Notamacropus eugenii: one gene and its partners. The protein of the gene in region 1 purifies or fractionates together with the protein of each later gene. This does not show direct contact. Links are inferred from orthologs where the notes say so. Each region holds a gene or a part of one and is shown on either strand. Other genes may lie near its edges.

Region 1 (7,088 bases):
TAGAGAGGCTCTTCATTCATGTCCTGAGCTCCTATAATCCTTATAAGTTGAGACCTAAAGTAGGAGGCACCACCAAAAATATGTTTATGACGTAGGAACTCATACTGAACTAATAAGTAACACTTATTCCTGACAATTCCTCCCTGCACCCCCCTTTTTAACCTGTTCATTTGCTTTATACTTCATGCTGATGGTGGCTAAGAGGCTACAGCTGTCCAAAATGAACAAGGTACTTTTGAATAATGAGAAAACGGAAAAGCAATCCTGTGTTTTGCTATTATTTAGCTTTATTTTAATGGTTAACTTTTAAAACCTGGCCCATTTCTTGATCCATCAAGTTCAAAGAGCTGTACACAAAGATTAACAACTAGTTTGAGAACATCAGGAAATGTTAGTTAATAATCAAGAGAAAAGATACTTTATGAAGTTTACTTTGATGTGTCCACATGAGAAATTCAAAATAATTCTCAATTAAAATTTAGCACCTACAATGTAGTACATCAGTAACAAATCTGAAATAGTATTTTCACATTTTGGAAATTAAAAATTACAAAAAAATTCGAGAACATTTTTTAAAAGACCCATAAGGTAAATTTGATGCTATCTGAAATGGTATATATTCTGCATACCATACAGATGAAAATAAATATAATGAAATTTTCCTCTTTCAAAAATAAAATACTTTAAGCCCCTAAAATAAATGCTCACTACAACAAGTCACTTAACCTCCCTGGGCTGAGTTTCCTGATCTGTAAGGGGGGGGGCGCTGGCCTAAATGATTCCTCCTAGGGCTCCCTTAGGCCTCTGAATCCTATGGTCCTACTTCAAGCCTGCACTCCAAACGTGTCTTCCCTTACCCCCTTGTCCTCTCACTACGAGTCTGCGGAAGGGCAGTGTTCGCTTCGCGTTTGCCGATGGGGTCAGCACCCCAAGGTGGCCGGGAGAGCTCCGGCGCTCTCCCCCGGTCTGCACAGCCCACGCGGCGAGTCCTGCCAGGGCGCTCCACCTAACTCTGGAGCGTGCTGAAACCTCCAGGAAAACGTTTGCTCCTAAAGTCATTTTAAGAGTTTTGTAAAATGATTACTCCCAGAGTTATTAGTGCTAACAGTTAACTAGCCTTGATGGCGCTCGGACGTTGGCAGAGAGCTCTCCTCGAGCATCCCGGAGTCCCTCTTGTCCTGGCCATCCTGCGTGGAGGTGATTCCCTCCAGAGCCTCTCGAATTCTGTGCGGCTGTCAGAGTCCCCGGGGAAGGCTGCCTGGCACCCTGCCCTCCGCCGGGGTGGGCAGGGGCAAGAGCTCCGAGGGAGGGAGCGTGTGGATGCCCGAGCCTGTGCCCGCCTCCCACTCGACTCAGGAAGCCGGAGAGGAAGGCACAAGGCTTGCCCCGGCTTTTCCTGCCGCTCTGCTTAGGCTAGGAGGAGCCAGGGCCCCCGGAATGAAGTAGTGCAACTTTGAAGCGAGTGCTGGCCTTGGCCAGTGGGAGTCGGGAGGTGGGCAGGTGCCCGGGGGACGCCGGGGCTCCGGGGGTAAAAGATGGCTCCGTTTTCGAACTCTCCGGCGAGCAGACACGCGCACACACCAGGCTCAGCTCTTTTTTTAAAAAGCCTCCTCTCCACCGCTCCCCCCGGTCCCAGGCCGTGCAGACAGGGGGGTCTTGCCCCCTCTCCTTCACGGGTGTCTCCGCTGGAGGCTCGGCCGAGCCAGCTCCCCGCGTGGGAGCAGCCGAGGGGCGCGGAGGCTCGCGGGGGGCCGCGGGGCTCCTCTCCTCCCGTTAACCCTTCTCCCACACCCAGACAAAGCTGACAACATGGCTACCACCACTCAAACAAGTTACTTGCAACTTCAGCCCGGCTTCGCGAAAAGGCAGCGGTGGGAACCCGGGCGGCTTCCCCGCGCTCCCCCTCGGTCTCCCCGCCGGGGCGAAGGGCACAGTAGCGAAACGCACCCGCTCCAAGTTTCCCTCCGGCAGCGGCAGGGGCAGGGACAGGGGCAGCGGCCGCCGCGCGCCCCGGCCGAAGCCCCGCCGGCCCCTCGGAAGCCGCAGGTCTGCAGCAGCCCATCCTCCTGCTGCTCCTCCTTCCTCTCCTCCATCCCTGAGATGCGGCGGAGGCTAAGGCTGGGAAGGAGCGGAGGGAGAGAAGAAAAGAACCGCCAGGCCTGGGGAAAGTTTTCGCGGAGAAGCGCCCCGGGCCGGAGCCCCCCTGGCGGGACCCGCGCTACTCACCTTCCGACAGATCCTCTATGCACTCAAACGTGATCTCGAACTGAAAAGGGTTGTAGAACGGAGAAGGGTTGTCCAGCACCACCACATTGTTCACCTGAACCTTTGCCATATTTTGAGAGAGGCAGAGGAACCCCGCACAAACAATAGGAAGGGGGTGTTCTTGCAGCGCCGCCGAGTCCAACGTGTTCTGGCTGGGCGCAGCCCCCGCTCCAGCACCGGCCCCGGGCCAACGGCGGGCGGCGGCGACTTGGGAAACTTTTGGTCGGCTTTCCCTCCTCGTCGTCGCGTCCCCTTCTTCTTCTTTTTGTATTTACACCGGGAAACAACTCCACAGTGTTTTTGCAGCTTTGCTATTTCCCTCAACTACAGCCCATTCTGCTCGGCGAACTAGCAGCGTGGGCCCCGATTGGCTGCACGCTGAGCTCTGACCCTCCTCCTCCTCCAGCTCCTGCTCCGGGAGAGCAAGATGGGCTCCCTTCCCCCGAACGGGCTCCGGAGGCTTCGCGGCTGCTCCACCTGCTGGCGCAGCCGAGGACAAAGGCGGAGAACAAAGTGAGCCGGGCGGCAGCCGGGGAGGAAGGCCGGGGAGGGCTCCTCCGGAGCCGAGCGGGGCAGAGCCGAGCGGGCTGGCGGCCCAGAGGCGGAGAGCGCCGCGGAGGGCCGGGAAGCCCCGCCCCCGGGATTGTTTCCACGCTCCTCGCACGTAGGGCGTGTCGGCCAGTAGTCAGCCGGGATCGGGGAGGGGAGGGGACTCGGCCGGAGCGGGGAGGGGGAGGGGGAGGGAGGAGAGAAGAGAGAGGGAAGGGGAGGAGGGAGGGGGAGGGGGAGGGGGAGGGGGAGGGGGAGAAGAGAAGGGGGAGGAGGGAAGGGGAAGGGGGAGGAGAGCAGAGAAGGCCGGCGTTCTCCTCTGAGATGGAAGGGCTCTGTCCAGGGCAGCAGAGCAGTGTGCCCAGATACACTAGGGGAATATCCACACGCGTGGGGGAAGTGCCTTGTGAGTGTGCATGACGTCTTAGCAAACAAGACACCTTCCTGACTTAAAGTCCTGAGGCTCGCAGCTCTGCAGAACTACCATCCTCTCCAGTCTCAGGGGGCCTCCCATCCAGGAGTGCCTAACCTTTTCTCATTTCACTGACAGCCTGGCAAAGCCTATGCAAAGCCTCCTTTGCAGAATCTTGTTGTAAATGCCTAAAATAAGATATGTAACATGACAAAGGAATCCAAATATTTTGAAATATCAAAAAAAAAATGTAATCCAAATTCACAGCCCCCCCAAGTTGAGAATCCCCTCCAAGTCTTTCCAGTTCTAGAAAGCATTTTCTAAATGGAAAGTTAGAGATGGAATGAGATTCATCTCAATGTTTTGTTGGGGGGGGATGAAAATTAGAAGGGGGAAAGGAGGAAAATTGGAGAGATGAGAAAAGCAAAAAAGACAAGCATTTTCAGCCAGTAGATGTAATTCAAAATCTGGGATGCAAACTGTTAGTACTTTTAGACATATTTTTAACCCTCAGAAGCAGTTAAAAGAGCCAGTGCATGGCCAAAGCCAGTCCAATGAGTGAAAATGTTGATTTCATTTGTAGCCCTTTGTTGCTCAAATGGGCTTTTTAATCTTAATATATAATATTATAATATAATTATAATATAATCATCATATGTTTTGTGAGATTTTAGCATTTTTAACTTATTAGCCGTTATTGATATGGCAAAACTAATGTGAAAATTAGTGTTCATTTATTCCATTCACAAAGCACCTATTGTTTTAAAATATTCATGATAAGAACTACCCAGCCCTAGTTCAATTTAAAGTAAAATAATCTCATACATATCCTACTGGATGCTTGGTGGAAAGTATCCTGGGTTTAGAGTTATAACCCCCTGGGTTCTAGTCCTCATGCTGACATACTGGTAAGGGGGACGCTGGATACTTAACCTCTCCTTCTGCTAGGCAACTCTGGAAGACAAGAAATTGCAGAGAAGGTACCAACCTAGAAGTTCCTCCATGTAAGAATTCCTTATATCAAGGAAATCATAGATTTATTCTCTATTCTCCAAGAAATTAGCCCATTAAAAGTATAGACCTTAGAAGCCATCTTGTATAACTGCATCATTTTAAAGATAAGGAAATTAATGATTCCAGAAATATTGAGACTTGCCCATCGTCACATTGGTCACAGGTAGTAAGTAAAAAAAAAAATCAAGATTCAAACTTGGCCCCTTTGTCTCCAAATTCACATTTCACACACAGTCTTCCAAAGTAATAAACTAGATCTTCCATAAGACCCATTCTAGCTCCAAAACCCTCTGGCAGTTTCTTTGCAAAAATGCATGTCTTTGAATTTAAATAGATATTATTCTTCATACCCACAAAGAATTGTGATGATCTTTGCAAGATTTTTTAATTCCAAAGATCTGGCTTTTGAAGTAGGGATCCCTTCCTTCATCCATATCTTGGTTCTCACAGCCTAGAAAGTAAGGTAGGTTATGTTCCATTTGGTGCTTAGTGGAGAGTGTGTCACAAAAGAATTTAACTGCCACATATAAAAATTAGCCAAAATGGTTTCCTCCTGGTGTTATTACATACAGCATATGGGTCAGAATAATGAAACCAAACTGCAAATGGTACTATATGTTTTGATGATAGACTCATATGAATAATAGTCCTCCTTTTTGTTGACAAGCTGACATAAGAAAACTGTGATAAATGTAGAAGCTGCCCTCTGTGCAGAAAGATACCCTGAATATATATGTAAAATGTCACTTTGCAAATGATTTTTTTTCTTACTGTAAATGTCTTATTAATGGTAAATAAAATTTCTAAAATGTTATAGTGATTGTAAGGGAAATTCTATGTCATAGGATCATGTTCTTAGAACTGGAAGAGACCTTAGACATCATTTAGAGTATAGGATCAAATCTGGGGTACTTGGTCCCCTTTGGATAGAAATTACAGTTAGGGGAACTTGACAAAAAAAAATTACACTTTAATTTTTACTGAAAATTTAACATTTCCTTCAAGTATTTGAGAATATTATTCAGAGAAGGGCCCCATAGTCTTTACCAAACTGCCAATGGAAGGTCCACCACACTCATACTGAAGAATCCCTAATCTATGAATCTTGATTCTAGACCAATCTCTTGTAGCGCCAATGTGATATTCACAGCGCCTATGGCAGCCTGAATATGCTAGCGCAATTCTGAATCTCGAAATACAACAGACTCTCCACATGGAAGACAGAACCAAAACATTTATTCAGACACCAAAAATCCAAATCCCCAGCACCAGAAAGCCAAATCCATCACAGTAACCAAGAAATCTATACACACTAACAATGCAGGGGGCACTACCATCCTTAAGCCTTCCCTCCTTAGACTTCCCACAAACCAGGTCTCTTAAACAAATCACAAACGAGCTCTCCCACTCCGACTAGTTGCAGCCTTTCCCAGCTCTGATTGCTCTCTGATTAACTTCCTCTCACCTTTTCTCTAGCTCCACCTCTTATTGTTCTACCCTTCCTGTTCCATATGACTTAGACTCATGTGACTCAGGCTTAATGGATGGGAAAGATCGTCCCATTAAGAAGCAAAATTACATTAACAATAAGCAGAAATGCATTATCAATACATACATCCCTTCTTTTTCACAAGAGGAAACCGAGACCCAGAGAGTTTAAATGATTTGTCCCACAGAGCTTAAATTCAAATCCAGTTCATCCTTTTCTAAAGCCAGTGTTTCCTCTGGTACTATGCTTCCTCCCTGTTGTTTTATAAGTATAAAATTATGAACTAGGTAAAAATAGAGTGAAATCCAACTCAATGAATTTTGTAATCTTACCTTGGAAAAGAGCCTTGTCTTAAAGCCAACTTGATGGGAAAGTCTCAGCCTTCTTAAGAAGTCTCATTAAGTCATAAAACTCCATTATGATGCTTATGTAGGGTGGAGAGTGGGGGAAATTGGCTCCCTTTGAGTAATGTCAGAATAGCTCAACTTTAGTTCAACCCATTCCCTTCATTACTTCTCAGCTGATGTGTCAGGATAGCACATTTCCTGTGTTTCTTGAAGATCACACTGATTATCATAGTGAGCTGGCATCTTTCTATAATACCAGCTCCTTACTGGCCCAGATTTTCTATTTTCTTTCTTAATTATCATTTGTTGTTGAGTCATTTTCAGTCATGTCCCACTCTTCCATGACCCCATTTGGGGTTTTCTTGGCAAAGATGTTGGAGTGGTTTGCCATTTCCTTTTCTAATAAACTGAGGCACACTAAGTGACTTGCCCAAGGTCACACAGACGGTAAGTATCCGAGGCCATATTTGAACTCTGGTCTTCCTGACTCTAGGCCCTGCCATCTATCCCTTTCATCACCTAGTTGCCCTAATTGTTATGGGCTGAGGATTTCAGAGACCTGCTTTTCTTGAATTCTTAACCAAGACCATCCCCCTCCCCATTCAAAATTCAATAAACAAAGGGTCAAAAAGAAGGTTATTTCTGTAAGTGTATTATCTATCCCATTATACTAGAAGGTCCATTTTGGAAAGGGATCTTGTCCTATTCTGTGTTGACTCTAAGTGATCTCTTATAAGTTAGCCCAATACTTTGTGCATTGATTCTCAGGAAACCTTTACTAAATGAAGGAATGACCAAAAAAACAACTCCTTTAACCCTTAGGGGAGCCACAACATTTTAAAATTTCTTTCTTCAGAACAACAAAGGATTTGTAAGCACTTTTATTTCTTGGTGGTGTTTGGTAAGTTTTGCTACTTACCTAAAAGCTAACAATACTTGTGAGACTTGTTAGAATAAATCTATGGATATTTTTGGGAGGGAAGAAAGTGGAGGACTGAGGAGAAGAATGAAT
Region 2 (7,334 bases), on another chromosome or scaffold:
TCATGCTTTAATTTTCATAACTTGAAGATAAATTGCACAAGCATCTTTCATCACTAATCATACTAGTATAATAAGGTCTAGGAAAGGAAAATACTCTCTCCCTCCAATAGCATAATAATGCCTTAAGAAAGAATGGGATGGGGGAAGTGGGTCTGTTTTTTAAAATTAAATCATCAAGCCATTTTTAAAGTATCTACTAAGTGCTAGGAAGTGTGGTTAAAACTTAGGATGCTGATACAAAACATGAAATTCTCTTGCCCTTGAGGATCTTACATTCTAATTAGGGGAATGAAAGGATACAAAATAGATTGATAGGATACAAAATAAACACACAGTGACTGAGGATTAGGAACAACTAGGGGGAAATCAGAAAAGGCTTCCTGAGGGAGCTACTGGTTACAAGAGGCAGAGGGGAGGAGGTACAGAATTCCAGGCATGAGGGGCAGAAAGGCAAGAGACAGAATGTCAAATAGCCAGTTTGATGTTGGGGTTGCGCGGGGGGGGGGGGGGGGATTGTGTGTCTGAGACACTGAGAGACAAAGAAACACAGGATGAAGCCAAATTATGAAGGGCTATCCATGCCAATGGACTTTGTGTTTCAGTATAGAAGGGCTGAGCAGCCTCTAATCTCCCTGACCAGAGGAGCATCATGGTTAGACATGATTTAGGACCATCAATTTGGCAACTGTATGGGGAATGGATTAGAGGGGGAATAGATTGGACATAAGGAGACCAATTAGGAGACTATAACAGTGGTCCAAGGGAGACATGATAAGCCCCTGTAGGATGGTGATTGTAGAATAAAGAGAAGTGGACAGATAGTAGAGATGTTTCAAAGGTAAAGTGGATAAGATTTGGCAACTAGTTGGATAGTGATGGAGGGGGAGTGAGAAAATAAAAAGTTGAGTATGATTTATCTAGAATGCAAACTTGAGTGTCTAAAATATAAAAAACAAAATAAGTTGGTGAGAAAGGGTAGGTACAAGATAAAGGAATACAGATAAATTTTAATTATCTTAGCAACACAAGGAAAAGCAGTAATCTTTATCTAGCAACTAAAGTGACTTGGCTGTACTTGACTTGTCAGGAAGCATGCCTTCTACTGTGAGTTCTACCACTTACTAACCATGAAATCTTGGGTAAATTTGGTCTTAATTTCCCCACTTGTAAAATCAGAGTTGAAGAAGATTATTTTTAGGGTATTACAAACTCTGTTATTCTAATTTCAAGAAACAGTGGCTGGGAAATTAAACGCAGGCAAAATTATTATTTGGTAGGAGGTGGGGAGGAGAGAGAGTCATACAAAAATATAGGAATACAAGATCTGAGATTTCCTCCTAGGCAACACCTGTTGTGGAAATTTCCTTCCTCACCAGATATATCCAATCTATGATTTAGGAGATGTCCGAGAGTTACAGGGACAGAGGTTAAATTACTTGCCCAGGGCCACACAACTAATGTCACAAATGGGACTGGAACCTAGGTCTTCTTGACTCTAAGATCAGCAAGCTACCTACTATGGCAAGCTGTTGCTGCATCTGCTTATTCATATCTACCTTATTAGTAAACTAAAGCTGATATCCTCAGCTCTCAAGTCTATCTGAAGGAATTAAGAGACTATAACCACAAGACAATCTTGGCATGACAGTCCCAGAAAGCCACCAGATTGTATTGAGCACAGAGAGCAAGATACTCTGTGTTGCTAAATCCTAATGCCTGGAATGCACTCTCTCCTTACCTCTCCCTTTTAGAATCTTTTGGTTTCTTTCATTTATCAGCTCCAGAACCAACTTTACCAGAAGTCTTTCAGATTTCCAGCTGCAAATGCCTTCACAGTTACATTGTATCAACTACAGATTCACACGTGTAAAATCTTAGCTAGTTGGTAAACTCCTGGAGGGAGTTTCACTTTTGCTACTGTATCCCTCGAGACCCCCACAACGCCGGGAGTATTGATTGTGTTACTCTCTAATATATTTCAGTGAGTTTCTTGTTGCCTCCAAAATTTCTCTTCTTCATTCATTCATTCATTCATTCATTCATTCATTCATTCATTCGCCAGGAAGGGTTTATTGAGTGGTTACTCTTTTGTAGCCCTGAGGATAGAAAGCGCTTACAGTACTTCGGGGATCTTCAGTGGAAGATAAAGGGTATGGTGACACTGCCAATAATCCCTACCTATAACAACGAATGACCTGGCGTCCCTACGACCCCAGCACTGTCCGTGCCCGCTAGTGCTGTAGCACCTGGAGACCCTGCAGAAAGAGCGGGAGACTTACCTGGGGAACCTCTGTTTCAGCTTCCTCAGGCTCTGCCTGGTAGGTGGCACAGCCACGAGGCACTGAGCTATCTCCTCGTACTGGGCCTTGGTCAATATCATGTTTGGCCCGGGAAGGGGCTGGGGGAGTGAAATGACACCCAGGGGCCGCTGCAGCCCGAAAGGGGCTGGAGACAGCTGGCACCGCGCACCCTGGGGACCCGTCCGCCCTCCGCGCAGCACGCGGCACCGCCGGGGGCGGGGAGGAGGGGCACGCGGCAGCGATCCCCAGGTTCGCCGCGGTGGCGGCCACGGTGGCGGCGGCGGCAGGAGCAGTAGCGCGGGCTTTACGCGGGACTGCCCTCACTTCTGCCCTCTGAGCAGCCGCAGAGCGCGCAAGTGAAGGCCAGTAGGCGCCATGTCAGTTAAGGGAAAAGCAACCAGGAAGTAATGCTGCAAGACGCCTGGCTGCCAGATACTCCAGCACCTCGAAGCCCGCGCTGTTGCCATCTTTCATTCCTGGGCTGGGCTTGGGCGGCTCGGGGAAGTGTCCACTCTGAACCCCGCGCCCAGAACTTCCTTAAGGGGGAAAAAATGCCCAGAAAGTGCCTTGATGGCAGGACAGGATAGTCGGTGCTCAGCCGAGCCCTGGAAAGCGGTTGTTAACGCGTTGGAGTCCGAGTTCGCTTTTGCTCGGGGTGTGCGGGGAGGTGGGGAGCAGGGCTGTGAGGAGGGACTCCCCCCAGAGCCTGGCTGGGAGAGCAGAGCGACGCCTAGAGAAATCCCCAGCACCTGAGGATGGCCCCACAGGTGCCTCGGTTTTAAGGAGCGTTGAGGACCCTACCAACATCGAGCAGCCAGAACGGAGAAACTGACTTTGCATCTTGGAAAATTAGTGTCGAGCCAGTATTAGGAATCTAGGCATCGACCGGGGCTTCTCAGACTAATTTACAAGCCGGCTTTTTCTCAGTCACAGTTTAACAAGTCAACTTTTCTCACTGGCACAGTGACAGGGCTGGATTTGCAGTTAAAAGCCAGGGGGTGAGATCCCACCTGAGGGACCTTCCACGTCACTTCACCTCTCCACCTCAGTTCTCTAGTCTTTAGAATGAGGGATTTGGACTAAAATGACCTCCAAGGTCCCTTCTAGCGCTTTGATCTACGATTTCAAATCTTAGGGAAAATTAAATAGCCCTCTGGACACTGACACTTAACTTTACTGGGAAAGTAGTGGGGGTGGGGGCATTAATTTCGATGGATCTGTTTTTTTTTTTTTCAGAAGTTTTGTTTAATGGAAGAAAGTACTTGAACTTTGGTTGAATGATACTTAAAACAGAAAGCACAGATGTTAGCTTGTCAGGTTCCCTTTAGATTAAGTATTGAGGAAATTTGGGGGACTTTTCAGTTCGTGTTTAAAAGTTTCCTTCTCATTCCCTTTCCTTTTATTTTTTTAATTGTCACAAAATCCAGTAAATAGAGACCGTCCTGTACTCATATAGCTTTCTGCCAAATGTTTACATCAGGATGTTTTTTCCCCCATATGCTTTGTATCCAGGTCTGGCTGTGTGACACCCGTGCATAACTATTTATTTATGGCAGCGGTGCCTGGAGTTGCCACCTGGCTAGTGTGTTGCTGACCCTGCCACTACTTTTACATGAAAGCTATTTGATGCTAAGCAGAAGCTGCTTGTTCCCCTTTTCCTTACCCCTTCACATCTCCTTGTACCCAATTCATAGCAGTAAGATTTTGATAGAAAACATCAGTTTAGGGAGGTTTGTAGTAATTATTTTTTTAAATAGCTTTCACACAGCTCCATCCCCTACACTCAGCTTTACAACACTGAAGGAAAAAAGCCACCTTTAATTTTTGCTAGTCATTTCACTATTTGGTCCCAAATCCTGAAGATTATTTTGGCATTAACCCAGAAGAACACAGACTAAATGACCTAAATGAGTCTCCTTTAAGAATCTGTGATTGAGCAATAAACACTCTTGCACATGCAGGTCCTCTGGTTGGGGGAGAAAATTTTGAGATAATTGGTTACAGAATATTAAAAAAAAACTGTTCAGTGACTTGTAATCTAAAACCACTTGAATACCCAATAAAATATTACTGATGGATAATTTAGAAAGGCAAAGCAAAGCTGTTGATATAATCATCCTTCACAATATTTTATGTTTACAAGTAGAAAGTTTCTTTCAGTGACTCTAAGCGTAAGGTAGAAAGCAACGAAGCCTAAATCTCATTATAAGTAAGCAACCCAAGAAAAGTAAGCTTAGTTTACTATAGAGAAGCCAACAGGAGCTTAGTAACAAATGACAATAATGAAATAACTGAAATTGTTACCTTTTTATACCTAGTTCCTCACACAGTACCTGGCACACCATAGACACCTAATAAATGCTTGTTAAATATAATACTGTGGAGTTCACAAAATGTTTCATTTACCTTTTGATTTGATCCGTACAAGAACTGTGCTAGGTAAGCACCAGACATTATCATCATTTTGCAGACGAGAAAATGGAAACGAATAGGTTAAATGACTCATCCAGGGTCATAAAATTAAAAGCTGTATAGAGAAGTAGGGCAGGGATGAATGGAAAGGGACGGGTTTCAACACAGGGCCATTGACTTATCGTTTTCATCACAAAAAAACAAATTTCCCCATCAACCCAGATCAGCACACATTTTTCATCAGGTATTATTTTTCAGGTTGATAGCTTCCCATTATCCCTCTTACCTGACTCCTCACTATCAGCTTTCTAAGGAACAGGAAAAATTAAAATGATCAAATCAATCAATCAATAAGCATTTACTAAACACATATTCCAGGCATTGTGTGCTAAACTCTAGGGATACAAAGATAAAAGTGAAAGGATCCTTGCCCCTAAAGAGCTTACCTTTTTAAAAAAAAACATTCAATTTTATTTTACTTTCAGTTCTTTGAATTTTCTCCTCTGACATCCATTCCTCCACCATCCACTGAGAAAGCAAGAAAAACAAATTTGTTAAATACATGTAGTTAAGCAAAGCAAATTCTCACCTTAGCCAAGTCTCTCTCTCTCTCTCTCTCTCTTTCTCTCTCTCTCTCTCTGTCTCGCTATCTAGCTATCATCTATCTATCTACCTATCCATCTATCCATCAAACTATAATCTGAATTAATTGTCTCTCTCTGGAAGTAGATAGCATGATTCATCATAAATCCCCTGGAGCTGTGGGTACCATCATGTAGATCAGAGTTCCCAAGACTTTTGAAGTTGTTTAAAAGAAACTATATTCTAATAGGGGAAACAACATGAAATTTAGAAGAATACAAGGTATTTGGGAGGAGGAGTGCTCTTGGAAGTGGGGGATCAGGACATCATGTAAGAGATGTCCCTTGAGCTGAGTCTTGAAGGAAAGCAGTTCCTTGCTTTCTGCTTCAAGAAGCTGAAGTGAGAAGGGAATTTCTTCCTGCCTTGAGGGAGCCAGTGCAAAGATAGGGAGATAGGAGATGCAATGTTGCATGTTCAGAACAACAAATAGATCAGTATGACGATCAAAGAGAGAGCTGGAAGGGGAATTATGAATAAGACTAAAAGCACAGGAAGGGGGAGGTTATGGAGATATGGGAATGTCAGAGTTCATACATGATCCTGAGGGTAATAGCAGAGTCACTTTAATTGATTAGGGGTGGAGGAGGGAGGTTAGTATAATCAAGACCTGCCCTTTAAGAAAATCACAGGTAGCTCTGGAGAATGGATTAGAGTAGGAAACACCTTGAGGCGAGGAAGCCAAATAGGAGGGTATTGCAGTAGTCCAGGCAGAGGTGATGAGGAATGGATTTAGGGAGGTCACTAAATAAGTGGAAAGAATTGCGTGCATGAAAGAGAAGGTGCAGAGATATAAACAAGATTTGGCAATGGATTGGATATTTGTGAGTGAAGAATTAATGATGAGACAACGGTTATGAACCTGGGTGACTACAAAGATGATAATGTCCTTGACAGTAAGAGGGAAATTCAGAAGAGGGGTAGATTTAGGAGTGGGAGGGAGAGGTATTGAATTCGGTTCTAGACGTATTAAGTTTGAGATGCCTCTGGAACATCCCATTAAAAATATTTAACAGGCACTCTATGAGGCAAAAATGGAGCTCAGGAGAAAGATTAGGACTGTATATGGAGGTCATCTGCATAGAGATGTTAATTGAACCCACGGGAACTGATAAGATCATCAAAGGAGAAGAGTCTAGAAAGAGAAGAGAACCCAGAATAAAACCTCTGGGAACTCCCACAGTTAATGAACGGAGATGGTTCAGCAAATCAGCAAAAGTTCGAGATTGGACAGGAAGGAAGGGAACCAGCAGAGTACAGAGTCACAGTAACTCAGAAAGAAGAGAATTCATGGGAGGAAAGTATGACTGACAATGTCAAAAGCTGCAGAGAAGTCACAGAGGATGAAAAGTGAGAATAAGCCATTAGATCTGGTCCCCCAGAGATCAATAGTAGCTGAAGAGAGAAGTTTCATTTGAGTGATGAGGTCAGAAACCAGATTTCAGGAATTCAAGAAAAGTATGTAGAGGAATTGCATGTAGACATCTTTTCTGAAGCCCAAAGCAAAACCAATTTTCATTAATCAGTTCAGTTGAACCATTTATTCCTTGATGAATCTGGATTATTTTATTTTCTTTTATTTTCCTCTTACTCCTGGTCCTCATAGTCACTTTTCTGTTCCTATTACATATGTACCTGTCTTCATCATCATTATTATTATAATTACATGGGAAGTACTGTAGTAGAAACTCTAGAGTCAGAGGTCCTGGGTGTGAATCCTGACTTTGTTACTTTACTACCATTGACCGTTAGCAAGTTATTTAATCTCCATGGCTTCAATGAAAGGGAGGAGAAAGATGACTGTAGTTAGTACTGTTAGTAAATTGTAGTCAGTGTTTTTAAAGATAAGGAAGACTTTAGAGGGAAAACAAAAGTGCACATGACACAGTATGTCTCTGATTTGATTAGAACCCCAGAGGTAGTAAACCATTTTAACAGTGTAGGCTAGAAAATAAAGTGACATAATTGTTGGATGAACCGAAT
Region 3 (7,739 bases), on another chromosome or scaffold:
AGAAAGAAAGCTATCATTCTTTGTAGATGATGTGATACATACTTAAGAGAATCCACTAAAAAACTACTTGAAATCATTAACAACTTTAGCAAAGTTGCAGGACATAAAATAAACCCACATAAATCATTGGCATTTCTACATATTAGCAACAAAGCCCAGCAGCAAGAGACAGAAAGAGAAATTGCATTTAAAGTAACTGTAGACAGTACCAAACATTTGGGAGTCTATGTGCCAAGAAAACCCAGGAACTACAGGAACACAATTACAAAACACTTCTCACACAAATAAAGAAGAATTTAAATAATTAGAAAAATATCAACTGCTCGGATTAATTTAATAAAAATGACAGTGGTACCTAAATTAATTTACTTATTTGGCGCCACACCAAAGTGCCAAAAAAATTATTTTATAGAGCTAGAAAAAATGACAAAATTCATCTTGAAAAACAAAAGGCCAAGAATATCAAGAGAATTAGCAGGGGGAAAAAATGTAAAGGCTGCGCCAGATCTAACACTGTATTATGAAGCAGCAAAAGAAAGGCAGATCAGTGGAATAAGTTAGGTACACAAGACACAATGGTAAATGACTATAGTAATCTACTATTTGATAAACCCAAAAATTCCCAGTTTCTGGGACAAGAACTCGCTATTTGACAAAACTTCTAGAAAAAATGGAAAATAGTATGGCAGAAAATAGGCATAGAACAACATCTCACACCGTAAACCAAGATAAGGTCAAAATGTGTATGTGATTTAGACATAAGGGGTGATACCAAAAGCAAACTAGGAGAGCAAAGAATAATTTGCCTGTCAGATCTATGAAGAAGGGAAGAATTTATGACCAAACAAAAGATAGAATATTATGAAATGAGAAATGGATCATTTTAATTAGATTAAATTAAAAAGTTTTTGCACAAACAAAACCAATGCAACCAAGATTAGAAAGGAAGCAGAAAGTTGAGAAATTATTTTTAGAGTCAGTGTTTCTGATAAAAGCCTCATTTCTAAAATATATACAGAACTGAGTCAAATTTATAAGAATACAAGTCACTCCTAAATTGATAATTGCTCAAAGGATATGAATAGGTAGTTTGCAGATGAAAAAATTAAAGCTAGGTAGTCATGAAAAAATGCTCTAAATCTCTACTGATCAGACAAATGCAAATCAAAACTACTCACTATCAGACTGGCTAACATGATAAAAGAGGAAAATGATAAATATGATATTGGAGATACAGGAAAATGGGAACACTAATGCATTGTTGGTGGAGTTGTGAGCTGATCCTATCATTCTGGAGACCCCTTTGACCCAGCAAAACTACTTCTAGGGCTGTATCCCAAAGAGATCATAGAAAAGGGAAAAGGACCCACATGTACAAAAATATTTATAGCAGGTTTCTGTGAGAGGTGCTGGAGAAATGAGGAGCGTGGTTTCAGACCAGCCTGGGCAGAAGCAGCAGACTGTGCACAGCGGCAGCAATGGGGGTCCCTCCTCCTTTCCCCTTCCCCCTCCTCCCCTCCCCCTCCTCCTCCCCCCCTCCCCCTCCCCTTCCCCTTTCCTCTCCCCCTCCCTCCCCCCTCCCCCCCTTCCCCCAGACAGGCTCACCTCCCGCAGCAGGCGGATCTCCAGCAGCTCCTGGTAGGCTCTCTCCGACTCTTCCCAGCGGTCATGCTTCTGCAGGTCCAAGGCTTTGTGATACAGGGAGAAAGCCTCCGCCTCCTGAGGGCCAGACAAGGACTGGACGGTCAGTGGGAGCTGTCCGGCTGGTCAGTGGGAGCAGTCGGGCCAGAAGGGGCAGCAGGGCCAGGCCCCGCCCGCTTACCTGTGCCTCCTTGGTCTGGGTCTTGTGGCTCTTGAAGGTCCCTTCGTGCTCATCCTCCACAGTGGAGCTGGCGTTCAAGGCTGCGATGCGGATCTGGAAAGGGCACGGGGAAGGGAGCCTGTGGGGCCCTGGGACACAGTGGTCCTGCCCCCCCCTCCCCAGGCCAGAGCCAGCAAAGACAGGGGCCCCAGACTGCCCGGTCTGACCTCCGGGGGCGCCTAGGGGGAGCTGTGCGCCCACGGACGAGGGCTCCGGGAGCCCCAACATTAGGGGGAGCGCCCAGCTGAGGGCACACCCCATCCACAGTTGGAGCCACGGTCTCAGAGGGTCAGGGGCGGGAAGATAACGGCCCCTCCCAGAGTCCCAGCTCACTCACCATCTTCGAGGAGGGCCAGCAGCCGAGTCTTTGCTCTGGACCACGCCCCTGCCCAGCAGGGGGTCACATCTAGGAGTAAACAAGAGCCCTGAGGATGGGAGCTGGGGCTGCCGAAGGCCCCGAGGACTTCCCCCGAGGACTCCCCCCGGTACAGCCCCTGACCCGGGACTGCTCCGCCCGGGACACCCCCCCTCCCCGACAGCCTCCCCCAGGACAGCTCCCCTCCCATCACGGGGAGGACTCAGCCCAGCCCGCGCCTCCCAGGAATGCCAGAAAGGCCTGACACGCTTCCCGTCCAAGGACCCGGCGGGCGCTTGGGGCCCAGCCTGCCAAGGAGCCCGTGGGCACCAGGCAGAGCAAGCCTGGTGCGCCCGAAGCCCCGCCCCCCAGCCCTGCCTCAGTTTCCTCTCCGCCGGGGGGGCCGTAACACACGCTCACACTCGCAGCTCCCGATGACCCCGAGACCCCCTTCCCGGACCGGCCTCTGCCGGTCTGAGGGGGAAGGACGGGGGACGGGGCAGGGATGGGCACAGCTGGGGGGCGGGGATGGAGAGGAGACAGAATTCAGCACTCCGCCTCCGCGCCTTTGCGGCTCGCGCAGGGACAGCCCCCCATCCCGTCCCTTCTCTACCCCTTGAGCACCGCCCTGCCCTGGCCCCCAGATACTGACTCCTTACTAACTCCGAGGGAAAGTGAGGCCCGGCGGGTAGGGGCCGGACTAGCCCCACCCCCGCCTCACCCGCCCGGTGTCCTGACAACAGGTTCCGACGCTCCTCCAGCACAGGCGCAGAAGGATGAACAAAAGCCGGAGCGGGAGTCGGCCAACAACGGGCGCGCCGATTGGCTGTTGCTCCGGATGCCTTGAGCCAATCACTGGGGGAAAGGGTGGGTCCTGTTGGTTACGTCATCGCCACCCTAGCCCAGGAAGGAGGGGCGTTCTTCTTTGCTTCCCCTCTGAGCCAGCTCAGAGGGCGGGTCCAGGAACGGAAGTAAAGCTGAGCTTGCCGGAAGCTTCTTTTCGGAAGGAAGAAAGGGGGCGGGGAGAAGACAGGACGTGACTTCACTGGGCGGGGAAGAAAAGCAGCCCTCCCCCCAAGGCGGGGCCCCATGTCTGTCACACACTGCTGGAGGGAGGGGGCCGGAAGCAGGAGGGGCCAAGACAGGAAGTGACCTCAGGCACGGCCCCGCCTTGCTAAGGGGGCGCTCTGCTCCGTTCCCCTCTTAGTACCTGGGGCGCCGTCAGACCTCCCCCGCCCCGGGGCGCCCCCTGGCGGTCTCAGGCTTGGCCGCAGGACCCTCTCCCCGGGCTGGGAGATGGTGTAGACCAGCCCGGAGCGGGCCGGAGCTGCCGCCCTCACAGCCCCCCCAGGGGGCGTGGCTGAGGCTGGCACGTGGTCCCTCGGCCGCCCTGGAGCATCTCCCGCACCCACGGCTCACAGCCGGGCAGCCCAGTGCGTAGGGCACCGGTCCTGATTCAAGGCCCCAGCGCGAAGCCAGCTTGGAGCGCTGCTGACCCTGGTGGCCTCAGTTTCCCCATCTGTCAAATGAGCTGCAGAACGAAGTGGCCAGGAAACCCCGTGGGGTCAGGAGTCAGATGAGACGGAATGACCTGCCGAGCCGGGCATCACACCTTCCTGCCACACCCTTCCGTGCCCTGTGCCCAGCCCCGCCATGGCCCGCCTGCTCTCTGCAGCCTGCACCCTCACTGGAGGCCCCGTCCTCCCTGCCTTGGGGTCCCCTTCCGTTTTCTTTGGGGGTGTGGCCCCTCATCCGCGTGGCAGCCATCGTGGTCCCTCTGAGCTGTCTCAGCTGGAGGCAGCAAGGGGCTGCAGTGAGTAGGAGAGCTGCATTGGAGTCACCAGGAGCTGAGTTCAGATCCCGCCTCAGGCACTTCCTAGCTGTATGACCCTGAGCAGGTCACTCCCCGTGGGCACTTTAGCTTCCTCGTATGGAAAATGGAGAGAGTGCATCCTTCACAGGGCTGCTGTGAGGATCAGATGAGATATGTCCAGGACCTTGGAGAGCTTCAAGTGCTACATTAACGCTAGTTATTATTATCTCCAATCATTCTGCAAGTTAAGGATGCCCAGGCCCTTCCCCATGCTGGTTGCCATCCAGAGGCCCCCGGTACACCAGGGTCAGGGTACATTGGGATGCCCCCCTGCCCGCCATGCTTCTTCTCTGTGATGGGGCTCGCTTTGAGGCTGCCACAGCCTACACTGCCGGGAGCCAGCCCACCACTGTTTGGGCCAGTGTCACCCACTTCATTCCTGTGAAGGGGATCTTTCCTTTCCACCCAAGTACAAGAAAGTCTTATTGTCTCCCTCCTACTTCATTCCATCCTGTTCAGCTGAGCCCAAAGCTCTGGCCTGTTGCCATGTTTTCTGGTTTTGCCATAAGTCAACTTGGGCCCCATCAGAGTAGAAGGCGTCAACTGGAGATGCTGGAGTTTGGAGAGATGAAACCTGCACCGATGGACTAGGGGGTCATTTGCACAGAAGATGCCAGCTGGGAGAATGGGCAAGACTTGGGGGGGAGGGTAGAAAGGAAAGGAGGGCTCCAGCCTGAGCCTTGGCAAACACCATCACCTCATGACAGGAGGGGAAGGAGGGACCAGGCACAAAGAGCAGATGTTGAGGTTCAAGGGTGCTATGGACCCCAAAATACCAACACACCAAGTCCTGCTCAAATGAATTCGACTCAAGCCTTCTTAAAGCCAAAGAAAACAAAGTTTATTAAAGATTCGCCACCTTGGGTTGACTCTTAAGGAGCCTAACCATTTGTAACGCTTGTCAGATAGAAACTCAGCTAGACAGAGTCAGAGCTGGACTAAACCTAAGCACCTTCATGAAGGCAAGATGGAACTTGATAATGTTTAATATAAAATTTTGGAATAATCTCTTTGTTCTCTCTGAAGCAAACTCAGAGAGTGCCTCTTCCTATGTCAGCAAAAGCCAGCCAAGGCTGACTCTACATTCCTTAAGGAGACCTTTAACCTGGGACACTATCTTGAATAATGGGACGTTTTCCATATCTTAATATTTGTAGACCTACACTATGTTATGGCATGTTAATGGTAAAGAAAACACAGACATCTTAGGTCGTAATTTCTATTGAACTTTGTTTACCCTTTCCTATGTCAGTTATGTTTAGGGCAGGAAGCCTGCCACTCACTAGTGGTGGGATTTCCTTATCACCGAGACATATGTTTATCCAGCCTGGAATCCCAAGGCGTGACCAACATTGCTTTGTTAATTGTCTTGTCTTACTGAATTTATGGTTTGCTTAATTAGGAGAGTTTCTTTCTCACAGCAAGATGTATATAAGTCAGAAGATTTCTGCACTGGGTAGCCAGAACATTTCTGGCTCCATAATGCATTATGTTACCGTTGTCTTTAATAGGGAATTGATCAATTAATTAATTAAATCATAAAATGTATGCATTTAGCCTGCTGCCTTTTCTTAATAAAGTTTTCAGGTCAACAAACTTAAATACAGAAATGACTGGAGGGATCTGGGGGTGGTCTGGAAGTCTAGGGTGATGGGAGGAGGGGTTTAGGAAGGGTCTTGAGGAGAAGTCCAAGGAGGACCTCAATGGGACTGGGGTGACTGGTCGAGGGTGGGAAACAGCTAGAGGCAATCAGGAGACATCAGACAATGGAGGGCTTGGGTTAGAAGCAGGTGGGGCAATCCAGAGGTCTTGATGGAATCGACCAGTACCCTGGGGTGAAGGGAAGAATCCAGGTGCTGCCAACTAGTCTGGGGCCCCAGGTATGGTCTTGATGGGGGCGGTGGGGGATTGAAGGGTACCCTGGGGTGAATACAGATGGAGGGAGGATCTTGATGGGAGTGGCTGGTAATAGGATCAAAGGGAGAGATATCAAAAGAATGCTAAATAGAAGATAGGGAGTATCCAGGCTGGGAGAAATGGAAGTGGAATCCAAGGAGCCCCCTCCCCCCCAAAGGCCAGACTTTCCTGGGGCCCTTCAGAGTAATGGGACGAAAGCCCTCCTCATCCAAGGGAAAAAGGTCTTGACTTGGGCTTGTACCTCATCACAGAGACTGAAAGGGGAGGACTAGTGAAGACAACAAGAGAGGCCACCAGGAAGAGGAGGATGGAGAAAAGGCTATGGGAGCATGAACAAAAACCATGGGGGGCAGTTTCACGAGGAAGAAAAAGAGGAAACTGAGGCAACCCAGGCCCAATCTGGGACACTGTCCTAGCTTTTGGCACAACTGCACAATCCCCCTCACAAGAGCTTCCTGGGCTCTACCAAGGCCTCCAGAGGATTGTGGATGAGCTCCAAGGATGGGCCCAGATTCTAGCTTACTGGACATTACCCTCAAGGTTCACTCCTGACCTTTCTGCATTTACTAGCCCAGGGCTGAGCAGTGTTTGGCCAAGCCCAGTGGAATCTTTGCTGTTTCTGTTTTACTAAAAGTGCCTCTGAATAAAGTGATTAAGGAGGATCTTTCTTCTAACCCATTGTAGGGCCTGGGAAGATTTGTAGGAAGGTCCAGGCCTTTTGTTAATTAATGAGGCACAGGTTCTCAAGGGATGTGATGCCCTCTGGCTCTAAAGACACTGCAGTGTGGTTTTATTTTGGGGCTTAGTTTTTGAAACTGTTTGTTTGGAGAGAAGAGGACTCTAGGAAGCAGTTAAAGAACACCCCCTCCCCCAACCTTGAAAACCCAGATATAGGTGCTTCCCTTTCTGGCAACTATGGTCAAACAGTTGAACCTGTCTATTGAACTGTGATGTATGTATTGATTATGGTCAGGCAGAGGAAGCCATGTCTGTTGATCTTTGATTTCTGTGCATTTTCTTTGAAGTTCAATGTGCTGACTCCCCTGAACTAGGTGAATGATACATGTGCTTGGTTAAAGTGAATGTTAACCCTTCAAAAGTTGCCTTTCCTTTTATGAATGCAGATCTAAGAAACTATGACAGCAGGCCCCCCTGTGTATGTTGGGGTGCTTACAGATACAAACAGTCAGGGCTTTGGACAGTGTGGAGACATCTACTGTCCTTCCCCAAGGGAAGAGGGGAAGAGTCAGTCCATCTGAACCGTCTGTGCCAAGCCGCCCTCCAGGATGGTGGAAGCCCTGAGGATGGCTGTTCCCTCGCTGAGATTGTGCCTAGTTAGGGATCTGGAGCCTGGCAGTGCTCTGCTGGCGACCTCACCATGGATGGGACCTTCTCAGGAACACCTCCAGCCAACCCCCACCCCATCAGCCTCCACCTCTGGGCTTGGGAAAAAGGAGTCAGTGCTCAACCAAACACAGGGCTCCACTTTATTCTGCTTGTCCTACAGAGAATCCTTGGTTTGTGTGGGGGCTGGTCCCTCAGCACCATCTCTGGGCTGCTTACAGAAAAGTCATCACCGTGCCCTTCTTGCCAATCTGCCAAGGCTCCAGGGGGTAGAACCGAATGTTAATTCTGCAGGAAGGAAGAGTACCCGCCAGTTGTCCCCCAGTCACTGTCAATCTCACCCCCAGCCCCTGGCACCCAGAGCCCTGTCAGCTCCCAAGGCCTCCCAA
Region 4 (7,329 bases), on another chromosome or scaffold:
AGGCCTTGAGGTTACCACCACACTCAGGAGCAGTAGTCCCATCTGCCCAAGAAAAGTTACCCAACACACTGAGCCCTTTGCTGTCCCAAGCCTTGACTGGGTCCCAACCCTCCCAAACTCCATGAACCGTACCTCCCTCTCAGGGATGCAGGGGCTTCGAGTGCTGCACTGGAGCAGCTGCATTAACTGAGGCCAGGCATCCAGGCCTTCGTTCCTCAGGATGGTTGCCGACAACTGGGCCAGGCTGAGGATCACGCTGTGCCTGTCGGTCGGAGAACAGCCATAAAAAAAGGGCCAACAGCACGGAGAAAAGCTACTACTATGTAAAACGCCCTTGGTCAGAGCCACGGCGAGACATTTCAGCACTTTTACCACCGCCCCATCTCCTTCTCTAACATGAAGCTCACGACCCAGCTGCTTTCCTTCTCTTAGAGGGGATCCCCACCACCTTCCCTTCCAGGGGACGTGCCCTGAGCTGCAGAAGAGGCAGAGGGCCTCTGCAGAGGATGCGCCAGGCCAGGTGGAAAGGGGCAGAGGATGTGCCAGGCCAACTGGGAAGGGGCAGAGGATGCGCCAGGCCAGGTGGGAAGGGGCAGAGGATGCGCCAGGCCAGGTGGGAAGGGGCAGAGGATGCGCCAGGCTGGCTGGGAAGGAGCAGAGGGCCTCCGCAGAAGATGCGCCAGGCCAGGTGGAAAGGGGCAGAGGATGTGCCAGGCCGACTGGGAAGGGGCAGAGGATGCACCAGGCTGGCTGGAAAGGAGCAGAGGGCCTCCGCAGAGGATGCGCCAGGCCAGGTGGGAAGGGGCAGAGGATGCGCCAGGCCAGGTGGGAAGGGGCAGAGGATGTGCCAGGCCAGGTGGGAAGGGGCAGAGGATGCGCCAGGCTGGCTGGGAAGGGGCAGAGGACGCGCCAGGCCAGGTGGGAAGGGGCAGAGGACGCGCCAGGCTGCCTGGGAAGGGGCAGAGGATGTGCCAGGCTGGCTGGGAAGGAGCAAAGGGCCTCCGCAGAGGATGCGCCAGGCCAGCTGGGAAGGGGCAGAGGATGCGCCAGGCCAGGTGGGAAGGGGCAGAGGATGTGCCAGGCTGGCTGGGAAGGAGCAGAAGGCCTCCGCAGAGAATGCGCCAGGCCAGCTGGGAAGGGGCAGAGGACGCGCCAGGCCGGCTGGCAAGGGGCAGAGGACGCGCCAGGCCGACTGGGATGGGGCAGAGGATGCGCCAGGCCGGCTGGCAAGGGGCAGAGGATGCGCCAGGCCGGCTGGCAAGGGGCAGAGGATGCGCCAGGCCGGCTGGCAAGGGGCAGAGGATGCGCCAGGCCGGCTGGCAAGGGGCAGAGGATGCCCAGGCCAGGTGGGAAGGGGCAGAGGATGCGCCAGGCCGGCTGGGAAGGGGCAGAGGATGCCCAGGCTGGCTGGGAAGGAGCAGAGGGCCTCCGCAGAGGATGCGCCAGGCCGGCTGGGAAGGGGCAGAGGATGCGCCAGGCCGGCTGGCAAGGGGCAGAGGATGCGCCAGGCCGGCTGGGATGGGGCAGAGGATGCGCCAGGCCGGCTGGGAAGGGGCAGAGGATGCGCCAGGCCGGCTGGCAAGGGGCAGAGGATGCGCCAGGCCGGCTGGGAAGGGGCAGAGGATGCGCCAGGCCGGCTGGCAAGGGGCAGAGGATGCGCCAGGCCGGCTGGCAAGGGGCAGAGGATGCGCCAGGCCGGCTGGGAAGGGGCAGAGGATGCCCAGGCCAGGTGGGAAGGGGCAGAGGACGCGCCAGGCCGGCTGGGAAGGGGCAGAGGATGCCCAGGCCGGCTGGGAAGGAGCAGAGGGCCTCTGCAGAGGATGCGCCAGGCCGGCTGGGAAGGGGCAGAGGATGCGCCAGGCCGGCTGGGAAGGAGCAGAGGATGCGCCAGGCCGGCTGGGAAGGGGCAGAGGGCCTCCGCAGAGGATGCGCCAGGCCGGCTGGCAAGGGGCAGAGGATGTGCCAGGCTGGCTGGGAAGGAGCAGAGGGCCTCCGCAGAGAATGCGCCAGGCCAGCTGGGAAGGGGCAGAGGACGCGCCAGGCCGGCTGGCAAGGGGCAGAGGATGCGCCAGGCCGGCTGGGAAGGGGCAGAGGACGCGCCAGGCCGGCTGGCAAGGGGCAGAGGATGCTCCAGGCCGGCTGGGAAGAAGCAGAGGGCCTCCGCAGAGGATGCGCCAGGCCGGCTGGCAAGGGGCAGCCCCGTACTCACTCTCTCTCGTGCTGCAGGGCTCTCAGCACCAGGGACTTCAGACTGGAACACAAGAGGGGGGAAAGCACTCAGCAGGGGCGCTCCTGCCCCGCCCCGCCCCGCCCCCGCCCCCCTGCGGCCCTCACCTCTCCCGATGGGACACCGCCAGCCGCCTCCATCGCGTGTTCAGGCGCCTCCTGATCAGCAGGGCCGAAAACTGCCTGATCTGGGGGGGAAGGAGGGGACGACGAGGGGCACGGGGGCACGGGAGAAGGACGGGCCATGACGGAGGGGATCCCAAGTCAGGACGGACCCAGGCTTGGGGGCTCTGCGGGTGGGGCCCGGGGGGTCAAGGAGCGAGGCGTGAAGACCAGCCCCCCACAGCGGGTGCCCCGGGGTCAGAGGTCGGGCGTGCGCGGGGGGCCAGCACGTTTCCCAAACCCGGGGTGGCGGGGGCTCTCACCTGCGGGTCGGGCGCGTGGGCCAGCAGCTCGCACAAGGCGGGCAAGGCGCTGGGCTTTCGGAGCGCGGCCTGGAGCTGTTCCGTGGCCTGGGGAGAAGCGGGCGGACACGGCGGGTCTTAGGCCGCGGCAGTCCCCCGCCCGTGGGTCCCGCCCACCCCGCGGGCCCCGTCCCGTACCCGGCGGATTCGCTCCGTGTCCGGCAGAAGCAGTTCCCGGAGGATCCGATCCAGCTCCCCGGACTCCATGGCAGCGGAGGCGGCTGCAGCTCCGGCAGCGGAGGAAGGGGGAGGGGCCGCACGTGGAGACACGGACACCCGCTTCCGGCGGAAGTGGCGCGCGCACGCCCCGCCCCGGCGTCGCCCTTCGCGACTCCCCGCCCTGCTTCCGGCAGGAGGATGGAGCGCTGCGTGCGCGGAGGGAGGCCGCGGCCTCCCCGCAGCGCCCCCGCCCGATCGGGGCCCAGAGCCGCCGGCTCCGTGCGGTTCCCTCCCGCCCCACCTTCTCGGACAGCGTAAGGGTTTCTTACCAAACTTTATTGTGACGGTTGTAAAAAGAAAACCATCGGAACCAAAATGAAAAGCAAATTAAAAATTCTAATATATAAGTCCTTCTCTATAGAGACGTTTCTAGATTGGAGGCGGCGGCTCGCGGGGCACACAGCAGGGGGGAGCCCCTCCCCGCCCCCGCCCCGCCCCGCCCCGCCCCCGCCCCGCCCCCGGGCCCGCTCGGGGCGGGCTCAAGCTGTGCCAGCAGCAGAGGGCCGGGTGCCTCAGTCCATCTTGAGGTTGACGTAGATGTAGCGGATGAACTTGAGCGAGGAGAAGAAGGAGATGGTGCCCAGCATGAGGAAGAAGACGTAGGCCGTGAGGAAGGAGTAGCCGAAGAACTCCACCGTCTGCACGGCCCCCGACATGTTGGAGCGCCGCGCGTAGTAGAAGCCCGAGTAGAGGAAGATGAAGAGGCCGGTGGAGCCCACGCTGAGCACGGAGCGCCACCACCAGCGGTAGTCCTCGCCCGACAGCTGGAAGTAGGTGAGCGCCACGGAGATGCAGGCGCCCACGCTCAGCAGGATGGCGAAGACGAAGAAGAGGATGCCGTAGAGCGTGTACTGCTCGCGGCCCCACACCGTGGCGAAGATGTAGTAGAGCTCCACCGAGATGGCACTGCCAGGAGAGGGGCGTCAGGGCCGGCCGGGCCGCGCTCTGCCCACCCGTGGGGAGGGGACAACCGCGTGCCAGGGGGGTGCCAGGACCCTCCGCGTGGGGAGTGAGGGCCCCAGGGTGGGAGGCGCAAATACCTGAAGGGCAGGAAGCCCCCGATGGTCATGTGCACGACGGTGGACTTGTACCAGGGCTGGGGCGGGATCTCCCGGGCGATGTTCTTAGTCCGACAGGGCGCATCGAAAGGGGTGGCATTGTTCTTACCAAAGATGCCCCCTATGACGGTGAGAGGGAAGCCCACCAGGAGCCACACCGTGAGCAGCAGCAGGATGGTGGTGGCCGGAAGCGCCTGCGTGGATCCGTTGGCCCAGTGCACAGAGTTCACCACGCTCCAAGTCAGGAAGAAAGGCACTGCAGGGATGGGCCCCCAGGAGGGCAGAGATCAGCATGGGAAGCCACATTCTGGGGGAGACCCACTTCAACTGGACCCGAAGGGGGACAGGGGGAGCCAACCTGCCACTCTAGCCCTAGACTTCCACCCTCACCAACCGGTTCTGCTTCTCCTTGGTCTTGCCTCCCACTCACCAGTAACTCTCAGGAATGGGCCAAGCCTGCCTAATAGGATGATTTAAGAGATGTGAGTGGAACTGAACGTTCCTGAATTCTTCCCTCTTACCCGCAAAGTCTGCTATCACATTCACACCTGCAAGTATTACATTCCTTTGAGTTTAGGGTGTTGTTCAAAACAAATACTGAGAGATTAATGTTCCCCTACATCTGTTAATAATAATGAGCTAGTATTTATATGACGTTTTTGAGGTTTGCAAAGCCTCTTACATGTTATCTAGTTTTACAATAACTTACAATAACTCTGAAGTAGGTGCTATAACTATCCCCATTTTATAGAGAGGGAGCTAAAGGTGAGGGAGGTTGAGTGACTTGTTCAGATCACAGAGCTAGTAAATGAGGCAGGATTTAAACTCAGGTCTTCCTGACTCCAAGTCAAAGCCTCTATTCACTGTAACAGCATGATTACAATATCAAAAATGAGGCCTTGCAGTAGAAATGGGACATGGCACTAATAAATTTAGATTAGATTATTGGACTTTAGATGTACCAAACTGTAAGGATTTTGAGGGCAGGGAACTTCTATTTTACTACTGTATGGTTCTGTACAGTTCCAATCTGTGCTCCTCTACTGATCTCAGTACTTATGACATCACTAACAGAAGGTAAGTGTGCAATACATTTTTGTTGAACTAGGGAAAGGATGGAGAAGGGACTTGTTCTGTCAAGTCTGGATTCAGTCAACAGGCTGCACTTGAGGACCAGAGGGCCACATATAGCCTCCAGGCCACAGGTTCCCTACTCCTGAACTAAGGACTAGAAAAGTTCAGAGTTTAGGACTGTTGCCCTAGGAGGGCAGGCCTGATTTGAGGTATTGCTGTGAAGGGCCCTCAGTAGTTATCATAAAATATGTAAGCACTAGGAGGGATCCTAGAGGGAAGGACACCATGAGAAACAAACTTGACTTTTATACAATTTTGCCTCATGCCAACCATCCTCTGAAGCCCATTTTGGCCCAACCCAGGGTGAGTATGAGCCTCACCAGAGAAGAGGCTGGTGGTGAGGATGATGTTCCAGACCCAACGCTCGCCTCCAATCTGCCGGTAGAAGTGGCTGGACACATAGCCAGCAATGCAGCAGGTCAGAGCATACAGCAAGATGGCTGCTGAGTTGATGGCGCCATGGCGGTGCACATTGAACATGCCCAGCAGTGCCATGACGATGATGCCTACAGGGTAACAGTGTGAAGCCTGCGTTAGATCTTCCCTATCTAACCCCAGAAGTCCTACAGGAATCAGCCTTTCCCTCACTCAAACACAGGAACTACAAAAGAAGAATTTGTTCCCTCTTATCCACCCTACACCTTCAATGAAACTACCAATTTTTGTCTTGAACCTGTAGACCCATAGGTGTAACATGCTTTGCAGCTCTCCTGCTTTTCAGGAAGGGGAACCAGACACTTCTCAGCAAGAGAGTACCACTACTTGAGATGCCTAGGCCATGCCACCTCCCCATCACCTTAGAAGAAGAGCCCTAGATTGCCTCACTACCTAGGTCTTCCTTAGCTGGCCCAATAGTCCCATTCCCTAAGGAGATATCCTTAGCCAATTCTGTTTCCCTCACCAGTGCCAAGGGCCAGAAACTGGGCACCCACACCAAGCACAGCACAGAGCAGACCACGACATGGGGGAAAGCGGAAAACATCAGTGTGGATAATCTTCCAGCCATTGTCACCCTGGTCAAAGTCATCAGTGGAGCTGCCAGAGTTTGGCTCCTCGTCCAAATTGTAGCGGGCCAAGTCATTACGAAGGACACGCATGAGGATGACAGCTACAAATCCCACCAGAAGAAAAACCAGCACCATAGAGTTGATAATAGACAGCCAGTGGATCTCTAGTGTTCGAGGGAAGAAGCCACCATCATCACCATGGCGTCTATCACCCCGACGTTCTGCTGTAGTCTCAGACCAGTGCACACTGTAAGTGTGAGTGAGTTCCAGCTGTTCTTCAGGCCGTACCACATCCAGGCTATGGGGCTTGACATCACGAACTGAGACATTGGCAAAGACAATTCGATCCCCATGGAACTCAAGGTGAAAATCCAGATGAGTCCAGAGTCCTATCTTGTGACTATGTGGAAGGAAACCACTCTCCTCCATGTAGCCCACAAAGCCACGAATTGGCAGGTCATCCACCACAAACTCAAAGTAGTATAATTCTTCAATGGCCTGACGCAGGCGTTCAACCTATGAAAGACAGATAGGATTGCTCAAGATCTTCTCAGGAACAGGGTGGAGGGAAAACTTGATTTTATGATAACCAGTCCAATTTCCTGAGCATCCTCCAGAGTGAAAATGACCTTCTGGTTTTAGGACTAGAAAGGAAGAGGACAAAAAAATATGAGACCATGTTTCCACAAGCTCTGAATCCTGCCCTAAGGCAGGATTTACTAGAGGACATAGGAAAGAGGGTTGATATGGAGAAAAGGAAGTATCTGACAGCAAGGCAGCAGAGTGGATAGAGTGAGTGGAGTTCAAATCTAGTCTCAGACACTTACTGGCTGTGTGACCCTGGGCAGATCACAAGACAGCTGTCAGCCTCAGTTTCCCCATCTGTAAAGTGTTGATAATAGCACCTGCCTCCTGGGATTGATGCAAGGACAACATGAGGTATTTGTAAAGCCCTCTGTAAACCTTAAAGCACGATGTCCGTGCTAGCTCCTACCAGTATAAGAGACTTACTGGGTGAAACGGCCTGCCTGAGGATGCCAGACAAGACCTTACTGGGACAAACCCAGCAGCACCAGCAGCACCCGCAGGGCGGGTGGGCACCTGAGGTTCGCAGCTTCGCTCCAAGGCTGCCCCACTGCAATACCCAGCCCTCCCCTCGCTCCACGCGCCATGGAGGTGTCAGGGGTCCCCGGGCAGGGCCCCCCGGACGGCAGCGGGCTG

Evidence for each region.
Region 2: the proteins of ASF1A (region 1) and CDIN1 purify together in Homo sapiens (affinity purification with mass spectrometry; 3 studies listed by BioGRID and IntAct, counting the BioPlex papers as one, with this or other methods). This does not show direct contact. The link is inferred for Notamacropus eugenii from reciprocal best matches to the Homo sapiens genes ASF1A and CDIN1.
Region 3: the proteins of ASF1A (region 1) and CABIN1 purify together in Homo sapiens (affinity purification with mass spectrometry; 4 studies listed by BioGRID and IntAct, counting the BioPlex papers as one, with this or other methods). This does not show direct contact. The link is inferred for Notamacropus eugenii from reciprocal best matches to the Homo sapiens genes ASF1A and CABIN1.
Region 4: the proteins of ASF1A (region 1) and IPO4 purify together in Homo sapiens (affinity purification with mass spectrometry; 4 studies listed by BioGRID and IntAct, counting the BioPlex papers as one, with this or other methods). This does not show direct contact. The link is inferred for Notamacropus eugenii from reciprocal best matches to the Homo sapiens genes ASF1A and IPO4.

Annotation. Positions count from the first base shown.
Region 1 is NC_092873.1:200,819,382-200,826,469, reverse strand, and holds the start of ASF1A (histone chaperone ASF1A), read right to left. Parts: upstream 3,013-7,088; 5' UTR 2,336-3,012; coding exon 2,227-2,335; intron 1,763-2,226; exon of another isoform or gene 1,161-1,762; coding exon of another isoform or gene 1,118-1,160; intron 1-1,117. UniProt on the Homo sapiens protein: Histone chaperone that facilitates histone deposition and histone exchange and removal during nucleosome assembly and disassembly.
Region 2 is NC_092878.1:21,610,009-21,617,342, reverse strand, and holds the start of CDIN1 (CDAN1-interacting nuclease 1), read right to left. Parts: upstream 3,008-7,334; 5' UTR 2,381-3,007; coding exon 2,280-2,380; intron 1-2,279. UniProt on the Homo sapiens protein: Plays a role in erythroid cell differentiation.
Region 3 is NC_092875.1:1,491,785-1,499,523, forward strand, and holds the start of CABIN1 (calcineurin-binding protein cabin-1), read right to left. Parts: upstream 3,006-7,739; 5' UTR 2,869-3,005; intron 2,268-2,868; 5' UTR 2,202-2,267; coding exon 2,199-2,201; intron 1,916-2,198; coding exon 1,823-1,915; intron 1,720-1,822; coding exon 1,606-1,719; intron 1-1,605. Other genes in the region: D-dopachrome decarboxylase-like, read right to left, coding at 7,566-7,638. UniProt on the Homo sapiens protein: May be required for replication-independent chromatin assembly. May serve as a negative regulator of T-cell receptor (TCR) signaling via inhibition of calcineurin. Inhibition of activated calcineurin is dependent on both PKC and calcium signals.
Region 4 is NC_092878.1:9,093,689-9,101,017, reverse strand, and holds the start of IPO4 (importin-4), read right to left. Parts: upstream 3,010-7,329; 5' UTR 2,898-3,009; coding exon 2,829-2,897; intron 2,739-2,828; coding exon 2,652-2,738; intron 2,415-2,651; coding exon 2,335-2,414; intron 2,252-2,334; coding exon 2,210-2,251; intron 263-2,209; coding exon 133-262; intron 43-132; coding exon 1-42. Other genes in the region: TM9SF1 (transmembrane 9 superfamily member 1), read right to left, coding at 3,422-3,815, 3,950-4,223, 5,422-5,607, 6,003-6,624. UniProt on the Homo sapiens protein: Nuclear transport receptor that mediates nuclear import of proteins, such as histones, RPS3A, TNP2 and VDR. Serves as receptor for nuclear localization signals (NLS) in cargo substrates.